Arabidopsis thaliana: one gene and its partner. The protein of the gene in region 2 interacts with the protein of the main gene of each other region in a pairwise test. Each region holds a gene or a part of one and is shown on either strand. Other genes may lie near its edges. The genes, in order: NAPRT2 and AT4G32750.

Evidence for each region.
Region 1: the proteins of AT4G32750 (region 2) and NAPRT2 interact in a two-hybrid assay, tested with the Arabidopsis thaliana proteins (one large-scale study listed by BioGRID).

The regions. Positions count from the first base shown.
Region 1 is NC_003071.7:9,969,935-9,975,872, reverse strand, and holds NAPRT2 (nicotinate phosphoribosyltransferase 2), read right to left. Parts: upstream 4,271-5,938; 5' UTR 4,055-4,270; coding exon 3,906-4,054; intron 3,815-3,905; coding exon 3,670-3,814; intron 3,582-3,669; coding exon 3,462-3,581; intron 3,370-3,461; coding exon 3,235-3,369; intron 3,142-3,234; coding exon 3,080-3,141; intron 2,984-3,079; coding exon 2,908-2,983; intron 2,685-2,907; coding exon 2,583-2,684; intron 2,449-2,582; coding exon 2,332-2,448; intron 2,242-2,331; coding exon 2,183-2,241; intron 2,078-2,182; coding exon 1,903-2,077; intron 1,820-1,902; coding exon 1,685-1,819; intron 1,600-1,684; coding exon 1,501-1,599; intron 1,418-1,500; coding exon 1,309-1,417; intron 1,233-1,308; coding exon 1,120-1,232; coding exon of another isoform or gene 1,081-1,119; exon of another isoform or gene 1,042-1,080; coding exon 964-1,041; 3' UTR 666-963; downstream 1-665. UniProt on the Arabidopsis thaliana protein: Catalyzes the first step in the biosynthesis of NAD from nicotinic acid, the ATP-dependent synthesis of beta-nicotinate D-ribonucleotide from nicotinate and 5-phospho-D-ribose 1-phosphate.
Region 2 is NC_003075.7:15,795,203-15,800,308, forward strand, and holds AT4G32750 (uncharacterized protein), read right to left. Parts: upstream 3,053-5,106; 5' UTR 2,890-3,052; coding exon 2,514-2,889; intron 1,974-2,513; coding exon 1,893-1,973; intron 1,638-1,892; coding exon 1,213-1,637; 3' UTR 699-1,212; downstream 1-698. Other genes in the region: PC-MYB1 (Homeodomain-like protein), read left to right, coding at 1-130, 322-441; AT4G32760 (ENTH/VHS/GAT family protein), read left to right, coding at 4,174-4,274, 4,682-4,760, 5,072-5,106.

The DNA of each region.
Region 1 (5,938 bases), on a different chromosome or scaffold from region 2:
AACAATATGAAAGTTCATGTTTTCTCAACATTTTTTTCTTTAATCAATCTATTAATTTTCACTAAAGAATTGTTGTTTTGAAAATATGAACGGAGCCAAAAAAAAAAAGAGTATTGGTCCCGACCAGTTTTGTGTATACTATGTGTTTCTTTTATATCAACAAATTTAACTTTCATCCAAGAAAACCCACGCCCATATCGAGTGCCCTGCCCTCGAAGCCATGGCTATTTGGAGACCATAAGAATTCAAAGTTACACTTGTATAACTCTGTTGTATAAGACCAAAACTATCACTTGTTTTTAACCTCAATTTGGATGGATTATCGTCTTGTCATTTTTAGTCATCTTGTATTCTTGTTAAGTGATTTTTCGTTAAGTAATGGTTTCCTTATATTCCATATTTTTTTTTACTGTTTGGTAAGTTTCTGTAATAAAGTTTTACTCCTCATTTACTCTGTTGTATTTTTCTATTCTCATATTCCATAATTCATCTTTTTGGAAATGAATTTTGAATATGTGGTTAGTGACTAGGTCCACCCCAAACGTCCTAGTAACGCCTAAAGAAGTTTTTGAAGAAAGGTAATGTTCTTCAAATCTCTGCTAGAAAAAACTCAATTAACTCAACTGCTTACCAATCCGTTTGCAACAGTAAGTTGTCAACCATATGACGAAACTAAACCTGATCCAAAATCGTTGACTTGAGTAAATGTTTTTACAGTCTCCAGTATGTTTACAGCTGTAAATATAAAATCTTATTGAATCAGTTGAAAACAAAGTTCCAGTGAACGCAGAGAGTTTCTTTCCTCAGTAAGAAAATGAAACTTACTACGACAATGAGAGATCATCAAAATGTTGTAAGAAAAAGAAACTAAAAGTGAAAAAAATGCATATTTGTGATGCTGTGGTATATAAATTATATACATTACACCAAACCAAAACCAGATTCTTCTTTTTGGTTGTTCTGTCACTGCAATTCACCAACAGGTGCTTCGTTTAGCCATAAGAAGTGGATGAAATCGTACAGCTTTGCGCTTACACTAACCTGTAAACCATGAGAGAAAAAAACATTTACACAGATTTCTCAGAAACTGAAAAACATGTTTGTCGGATAAAACCATACCTTATAAGGAGTTGGGTTTAATCTCCTCATATGATCAGGTCGCATGTTTTCGAGCTGTTTGATGCAACGGTCTCTTATCTCTTTCAAAGGCGGTAATACTTCTCTTGCTTCATCTTCATTGGTATAGAGAAACAATAATCAGTGAAAAGCATTGTCATTAATAACTCTACGGTACCGGAAAATCTTTACCTGCACTTCCACGCCAATAACATTTGAGGAGCTCTTCGACACGTTGTGGCACTACATATGCTCTTTTGGATTCGTTGAATGGGTGACGACAAAGTAAACGCTCACCAACCTTTGATATCAAGAAAGATATTATGTAAAAATGCAATAAGGTAATGAGATTAAAATCTTTGAGAGAGTTATCTTTCGTTTTACCTTTGGAGGTGGTTCGTTCTCTCCAGTCATTATATCTACCAGAGGGTAACCTTCTTTGCCGTATAATCTGTAACTTCGCTTTTTACACGGTATTGATACCTAAACGAATCAGAATGATAATCAGATTAAGTGCAATGTGACATTGAATGTTCAGAACACCAAGAGAGAGAGAGAGAGTTTTAACCTTTGTAACATCTTCAGAAAGTTTAATCCGAGGCTGATTGTTTATCTCCACAAGTTTGAAAACGCAACCTAAGGCCGCTTGTGAATAGCAAGTGACCAAGTAGGTCCCGATGCCAAAAGCATCCACCTCATGTCCCTATAGAGATGAAAGAAAAAACACTGCTTAATAATAATCAATCTTTCGGGGGCATGGCATTTGAGAGTGGGTTAGGGAGTCACCTGTTTATTTAAAGCGTCAATCGTCTCTTCATTTAGATCATTACTAGCAGTGACGACCATCTTCCCAAAACCAGGCACTTTTAGTTCTCTCTCTACCGTGCAGAAGAAATTTCTGGCCTCTCTAGATAGATAAGCTAAATCACCTGAATCCAGTCTAATACCTAATGCTTTATATCTGCGCAGCACAATAAACATCAATTGCATCTCAAATTCCATATGATCCTGAAGAAGTACAAAGTCAAGTCAGACGATCGGGTATTGATAAGAGATTCTTACACACCCAAAGTCATTGAGTGCTAAAGCAACTGCACAGAAGTTAGGGATTCCACTCTTCATCACCTGTAAAACAGTCAGCAAAACACTAATATAAGAGTTTATTAGAAATCCTAAGGCTCAAATGAGCTATCTACTATGGTGTTTAATGCTCACATCGTATGTATCTACGAGGGCAAGAAAAGTTTTGGGGAATGCCAGTGCATATGAGGTGAAAGCTGCTAGCTCGCTTTGATTTGTCTCAGAGAAAATGCCACTTAGAGATGGTGAATACTGTCATCCACAAAGAAACAAAACATAAGAAAAACTGTGACAAAGATTCAAGCAAAGGGTTGAAGCAGAAATAGAACAATGGTCCTGAGACTAGAAAACAGGAAGAGGAAGAGCAAAATGTGCAATAAACAAACCTGAATCTTTTTTAACCATGTCTGAACATGACTAACAAAATCCTCGCACGTGGTTTTCCCATCAGCACTACGAAGTACTTTGTCAACAATCTCATCAGTACTCTGCAATCCAAAGTTAACTAATTATATCGAAAATGCTTTTGTGATATTGTTATGAGCGAGGATATTAAGTGTGCATCAGAACCATGGCTAATAAAGTTATAGCAACAAAGGCATTGACAAGAATATCTTATTTTCACGAAACTTTGTGTTATCGTCTCTACTAGCTAACTCAAGTATGTAACCTCCACATAAAAATTGAAACTTTTGGCTGAAGTGAACTGACCATGAATGAGCTAACATAAGCATGAGAGTGTGTTCCACGAAGAGGAATCCCAAAAAGTTTTCCAGCTGCTACATTACTGTCATTGGCAAAATACCCAACAACACAAAACACATCATTTCCACATTCCCTTTCACCTACTTCCAGATCAACAAAAACAAAAAGCAAGACTTGCCTTGTTGCATCAAAACCTCCAAGGTAGCAATATTTTGATGCGCTTATTGCACCATCCGGACCCTAAGATTCCAACACTAATAACATCAGACAGAGATGGAAAGAACAACACAAAAGGCAATATATCAAAAAACAAGAGAGAGATTTATAGGAAACCTGAGCCCTTCGAGCACCAAACTCGAGTAGACTCTTAGATTTTCCGGCAACAAAGCGATGCCTAGCTGCGTTAGTAGCTACCAAAGATGCAAAATTGACAAGATTGAGGAATGGAGTTTCCAACAATTGAACAACCTATGGAGATTTTACAACAACTGATGAATCATTCATTCAAGAAAACTATTCCTTAAACAATCTTCACAAATGAAAGAGACAAAGAGACTCACACCAACAGGTCCTTCAACTCTCATGAGAGGTACTTTAGGAAAAACAACTGATCCTTCCGGAATTGCATAAACTTCAACATCAGAACAATCAAGCCCTCTAAGATAATCACAAAAAGCTTCCTAATTTGAATCACAAACATAAAACCCTGATTTAAAAATCCAAACTTTAATCAATAACAATCTAAAAACAAACAGATTTTTGATATACCTCAGATCCAGGCAAACACTCTTGAACGAAATCGATTTCTTCATCAGTCAATTTGAAATTGGCTAAGAACTTAACACACTCTTCTAATCCAGCAAACACAGTGTACTCACCACCAAATGGGTTCTTACGAAAATACAGATCGAAACTGAAAAGGAAACAAAAACAATTTCAAATATACAAAACCATTCAGAATTCAACATCAAAAGCAGAGCATGAGAAGAGATTGTGTGTTGTACACGGATCGTTCGTTGTGTTTGCCAGCTTTCCAATAAGCATAAGCCATGGTGAATTGATAAAGATCATTGAGTAAAGGTGTGACCATTGGATTCGTTGGTCCGTCAATGATCTTCTGACCCAATTCTGAGCCGTTCTCTTTCGGCTCCATTGTCGTCGCTTCCAATTTGTGTGGAACAATTGGCTTCGTATGAGTGAGTGTGTGTGTGATTACGAGAGAGTGAATGGACGAGGAACACTGGTTCTTGGTTGTTTATATTGGAGTGGTCAAAGGAAAAAGAAAAAAACAAGTGTGTTTAAAGAAAGAGACGACGACCACCACACAAAGCAAAACTTGCTTTGAACTTGACCTAGTCTTTCTTTAAGAGCCTTTATTGGTTTCTAATTATTTCTCATTTTAGAGTTTAGACTAAAACGAGGTTTAATTTTCGTGGTTGTTGGCTCTTAGATTATTGGAATTTTCACGTTTAAAAGAATTTTATGTGTTGAAAATTGGCATATGGTAGCCAAATTCAACTAATTATAATAATTACTCAGAAAAATTTACATATTGGTATTGGTAACAAATAACAATATCTTGTATCTCTAATAAATTAATGAAAAGAGTTTAGCTGTTTTAATCTAAAAAACTTAAATTACAGAGGCGGGGAATTTTTTCATTTCAAATACATTTTTTTGGTGTGATTTATTTCACATACATAATTCGGAAAACTTGTATAGCGTAAATCTATTGATTAATAATGGTACACACTTGCTGTGTTATGATATATTTGTGTATTTAATGATTTTAGTTTATTGACTATTTTTAATGTGCAATATTAATGATTTTTAGCTCTTTTGCAATCAAATATGCAGTATGATATTTGATTAGTAGTAAATATTTACATTTCACATATATGTTATAGTATTTGATGAATATTGTACTTATAATATATAATATTTGTTAACATTAAAATAGAAAAGGTTAATGTAGATTAATACATCTTAAAACTTCAGTTTCTTAAAATATATAAATATTGTAAAAATGTTCAGATGCTTATTATGGAAAAACAAAACAAAACAGAATTGCATAACACCAAAAATTTTAAACATGATTATGAAAAAATCAATCCAAATTTAGGTACATTTATTTATCAAAGTTTAATTTTACATCAAACAATAGTATCTAAAATGAATTAAAATGAACTCAAACTTAAGACTAAACATAAGATTGTCCCAACTTGGTTTTTGAAGCCATATCGCATATGGCCTAACCATATTCATGGTCTCTTTTATTTGTCAGTGTCATGATATGAGTATCACAATTTGATAGGGTTCTCTTGAAGTTGTTGATTAAAAATAATCAAAACAAATAATTCTGGAGAGAGCCTCCTACGTGGCAGTCAGTGGTTGGTTGATATATTTAACCAACAAAAAATCCTTGTGTCTTTATTTTTCATTCCGTCGGGAAATTTTCTCACTCTCTCTATTGGTCGTCTCTCTCGACGCTGCTCACCATTCCGAGTTCGTTTCACCAAATCGATGACCCAATTCTATATGTGTTTGTCCCAAATCCAATCTCCCACCAAACCCTTGCTTCGTTCCCTCGAATCAGAGCATTGTCAGATAGGAAGATGACTAAGCTTTGATTGATTTAGTTGTGTAGATGATTTGGTTCTTTAGAAAACGAAGAAGTTATCTGATTGATCTGTTTCGTTTTATTGTTTGTTGCATGGGGATCAGTGTTGTTGATTTGGATCCCATAAGAACCAGCTTTTGCTTGGGTACAGTCATTCTAGTAATCTAGTCTGTTCTCTTGGGTTATTAATATTTTCTTCAGTTTGCATTATTAGCGAGAGGAAGTCTACATATGTGTTTGATTGATTCGTAATGCTGGTTATCGTTAACACCTTTATATGGTTTTAAAATCAGGTGATCGTGTGCCCACTAAGTTGAAGAAAGCCATCATGCAAGCCCGAGAAGACAAGAAGCTGACTCAGTCCCAACTTGCTCAAGTATTTTCTCTTTTCTCTGTATCTATCTCTTTCTTTTGTTG
Region 2 (5,106 bases):
TGCAGATGCCTTGGAAGTTCTGGGTAATGACACACCTGAATCGATACTCAAGAAGAGACAGCTGAACAAGTCCATTCAAGGGAAAGAAAATCAGCACCAGCCTCATGATCAGCTTGGGAACCGATCCCAGGTTTCAGCTTCAACTTACACCTTATATATCATACAAACTCTCAATAAGTTTCAAATTGATCAAGTCCTCTAATCAATACACCTGGTCTAGCTTAATGTTGAAATTGGATCTTGAACTTGGTAGATTAAAAGGAATAACAGTTTTGAGTTTATAAATTGACGTACTGTGAACCAATTCTCTGTGGAATGCAGGTGGAGTGTCGCGCCTTAGACTTCAGCGATTGTGGGACACCAGGGAAAGCTAAGGTACCTTCGGCTTCTCCGGGAGGCTACTCAAGCCCATCATCTTACCTTTTGAAGAGTTGCAGATAGAGAAGGGTGGTTTTGTTCATAGAGTTCTGAAGGGAGTCTCGCCTTCAATTTTTTGATCCCATATGTGTATGTCTTTTTTATTCCCTCCTTGTCCAATTTTCTTGTTTCTAATTTTTTTAAATGTGTAGATCTCTCAACTCTGGACATCATACCATTGATTAAATAGCGAAAAAGTAACTTGTTCTCAAGTAATTAACTTGTAACTCCAAAAGTTCTCGTCCTCATGATGAACCAAGTGATTTTCTTCTTGTTCTGTTAAATGCTAAGAATTTTTCACAATGTTCAGGTATGATACTGATTCATAAAACCATTAAAAACCAGCAAAGTTTGTATTATGATATTGTGTAGACACAGATTCTTCTTTTATAGGACTTGGAAGTTAATACTAATCCTTTTATGATGCTATTACTGTTGATCTAAAGGTTATTGTACAATCAAAATGTATTGTTAGGCCTATACTACAAACCCAAGATTCCTACAATGAACAATGTAAACGATCAAAACCGACCATGAACTGCTCAAAAGACAGAACCAAACACAATCTTGATTGATCCACTATGTGTATATCTACAACAGCAACAGTCCTAACCGTTCTGATTTATCTTCCGGATCAAAATCTTCTCATGATCCGTCCATAAACAACATCAGCAGAAAGCAGAGACATGAAATAACCCGAGAATCACTGAGGGAACAATTTGGTGAGCCCAATCTCTGAAGCAATCATCTTTGGAGGTTTGCATAAGTGTCATACCAAATTCTTCTTTGCAAGAATCAAGATCTTTGCCTGCTTGAAAGAGTATGAGTTACATTCGGCACTTCATTGTAAAAGTCAGGTTCGTCTTCTTCTTCATCAGATGATAATAAAGATGGTCCCATCCATGCTTTAAACCCCTCGTTCACTCGTCTTTCAACGTCTGGTGTGAATTCCAACGGATTAGCTTCAAGCATCTCCAAGCCCTGATCATTTCTGTTCCCAAACTCTCCTTCGTCAATAGTTAAAGCAGCTCTTCTTCTAAGGGAGAAAGCAGTTCCAGCATACAAGATTACTAAACCCCATGAAGAAATCTCGTAGCACCAAAACAAAGGCACAGAACAGCTGCTTCCTAATGTGAGGAGGCTTGAGCCGAGAAATATAGCAAGGAGACCATAGATGATAGCAAACACAACATTCAGAATTGACAGACAACGGACCCCACCTGTGAATTTATTGGACATGATAAAGAAGATCAATAACCTATTTTGAGGTCCAAGCTTAGTGATAAACTCTGAAGAGCCCAGATTCTCAAAGGTAGAAACATAGTAATTACTAGCAGATGAAATAGAATTACACATAAAAATTTATAAGATAAAGTCTGGCACTGAAAAGGAATGAATCTATTACACGAATGCATGGATATACAAAGAACAAATATGGAAAGCTGAATACATATTAAAGAGAGAAGAGAGTATACCTCTTCTTGAAGCACAGTAGTTATTTTCAACGACTTTTAGAAACCCATGACGGTGAGGAGCGGAATAAGCCACAAAAATTCCTGCAGTATTGCAACAAAATAGCGAGAATAATAAGCAGCAGACATACCACACCTGTAAAACTTAGAAGGGCTGCCATGTGGAGGCAGAAAGCAATAAAGGAAATAAATCAGCTCCACTAAGTTACATCCATATAAAATTCAAATCCAACAAAATCTAGCAGAGGAATTAACTGGATTTAGCAAACTCCACAGCTTGCTCTATGGCTAACCCCCTAAAATCCCAATAAACCTGAACCATCATCAGACCTGTCTTTATATAGTGGCTTCAATCAAAACGAGTGATTCTAGAACTAAACATAACAACGAGCATTCAGATTTTGAGGACACATCAATCAATCAACCCTCTCTGACAATATTTCACCTCACCAATCGAAAAATTCAGAAGCCATTTTGCCAGAAATTTGCTAAGCATCAATATCTAGCGTAAAGCCACTCAGAACTGAGCATCATCTAATGAAATCAGCCAACAAAACACAAATGCAAACCCAGCTCTGTAGATATGAAATAACGAAGAACAAAAGCTAGAGACTTGACGCTCACCTGCTACAAGATAAACAGATGATACAAGGAAAATTATAGTCGAGGGAACGAAAACGACCATCCAGTAATAATCAACAGTTTCTTGATCGGTCAAGTAAAAAGCACCGGGAAAGAGATCGGAGTCACGAGCTTTGCCATAGATAGGCAAAGGTTGTAGCTTTATGTCGCTGCAAAATGGCCTCTTAAGAACATTCGAAGGAAATACAATTTTCAAGCTGACGATCGTGCAAGTGAAGATGACAAAACAAAGGAAAGCCACGATCGAGACTAAAGTCGGCCTCTGAAGCTTAATCCAGGCTCTATCTTCTTCCCTAAGGCTCTCGTACTCTTGCTTTGGCATAAACGCTTGACGCAACGCATCTCCAATGATCGCCATTGAAGAAACACAAAAAAAAAACTAATCCACAATCGAATTAGACCCTTCTCACCAGATAATTCCGAAACAATTCAAAATAGGGGTTTCCGAAGTTTATCAGGAACCCTAAATCAATGAACACCGAACTGGGGAAATGAGGAAGAAGTATTAGTGATGCAGAAACAATTAGGCGCGTGTAAAGGTACTTGCTTTGATAACTTCTGTGTAATTACAGTTTGACCCCCAATAGTTTGTTAAAGTTCGAATCTATCCCCACTTCCCGCTCAATTATTATCATAATCATAGAATTAGAATATGCTTAGCTATAGAGTCCTAATTAATTCAACTGATGAAGTTAGAACTAACACTCTTATGCAATTTTGATGTCTATAAATCTAAATTATTTTTTGCAAGTGGGTGAATACATCCAACACAGAAAGTGATAAAGAAACGAGAACTCAATAGAATAGAATAGAGAGTAAATAGATGTGTAGCAAGTTGGTTTAGGTTTGTATCACACCAATCACGACTTTCATAAGACCAAAATGTTTTCTTTATGATGAATTTTGTAAAGATGTGGATTTAACGGTTTCATAGCGTTATCAAATGACACTCATAATTAATTGCATACGTGTGCAATCGCAATCGTAATCGCTGGTTAGTTTTGTTTTGCAAATACTTTGTTTCGATCATTAAAAAGAAAACATTGTAAGCTGTTGAGAATCGACCAATCATCAAACTGTAATGTTCCATCTAAATCTAATTCATTCATTTAGATTGGATAACATTATTATATTTAGCTCCCAAAAACGAAAAAATAATAATACTAATAACTAACATTTACTGTTAGTGAAACGATGACCGTCGGATTTATAGGTGGGTCAAAAGCAACGGTCCGATGGAAAGCAATGACCTGACTGAATTGGTGTAACTATCCAAACACAACGATATGAACACGTGGCAATCTTTTAGTGGACCCTTTTCCAGAAGATATTCGACTTATTTCCTTTTTTGCTATTTCGTGGAAAATAAAAAATGATCTGAAGTACAGAAAATACATTTTTAAAAAACAAATTCTGAAAATTAACAATTAGAGAAAAAGAAAAGAAAAGGAAAAAAAAAAGATTTCTAGTAGAAAGAGAGAAGGGCGTGAATTCCTGAGCGAGAGATTCTTCGCCGGAGTAATCTCTTTGCGTGATCTTACCGGCTGCTTAATTCGTCTTCGCCTGATTCGTTGGTTTCAAAATTCGTCTCTCTCTTTCAATCGGAGGTTAATTGTTTTTCTGTTTGGGGGTCAAAGCGAAGATGGTGAACGCTATGGTGGAGAGAGCGACGAGCGAGATGCTGATCGGGCCTGATTGGGCTATGAACCTCGAGATCTGTGATATGCTCAATAGCGATCCAGCGTATGTTTCCCTCTGCTCCCTCCGATTTTGTTTTTGTTGTTATCTCTCTCTCTCTCTCTACCTTTTGTTTTCTATACTTCTCGATTAGTCTCCTGTAAACTATTGTAACTCTCTATACGGATTTGGATTTTTGGTTCAGTGAGAGAGAGAGAGAGAGAGTTAACAGTAAGATGGAAATCAAATTTCGTTTCTTTACCAGAGTTAGATATTTCCATGTTTTCTAGGACCAATTGGAATACTTGTGGCCTACTGTTTTGCTCAATTTAGTCATCTTTCATAGGGCTTTAATTGTAGAAGCTCTCAAGTTATTTTCTTTATATGCTTTGTGATTGGAAGAAGGAGATTTCAGTGTGTGTACTAACTGCACCAATACTATGTGATGTCTGAAACTGGTTCCTGTTTTGTAGGCAAGCAAAAGATGTTGTGAAAGGCATTAAAAAACGGATTGGTAGCAGGAATCCAAAAGCTCAGCTTCTTGCCTTAACTGTGAGCTCCTAGATAACTGTCTCTCCTTTTTATTTTCCTTGATGGCTACTTCATTGAAATAGCCACTGTTGTTTCTGAAACGGTGCATTTGGATAGCGTGTTTGTTTCACAAACCTCTTTTATTAGTGGAAGTTGACATGATCAGAGATTACTTGTTCATGATACTAATGTACATGATGAGGATTTTAATGACTTACAAGTTTTCTAACAAGAATGATATGCTGATAATTATTTTCACGTTTTTTCATCTTTCTTGTTTGTTTTGCAATGATAGTTATTCACTCATCGTCATGCTTTTTGTTATGTTCTAGCTGCTTGAGACAATAGTGAAGAACTGTGGTGACAT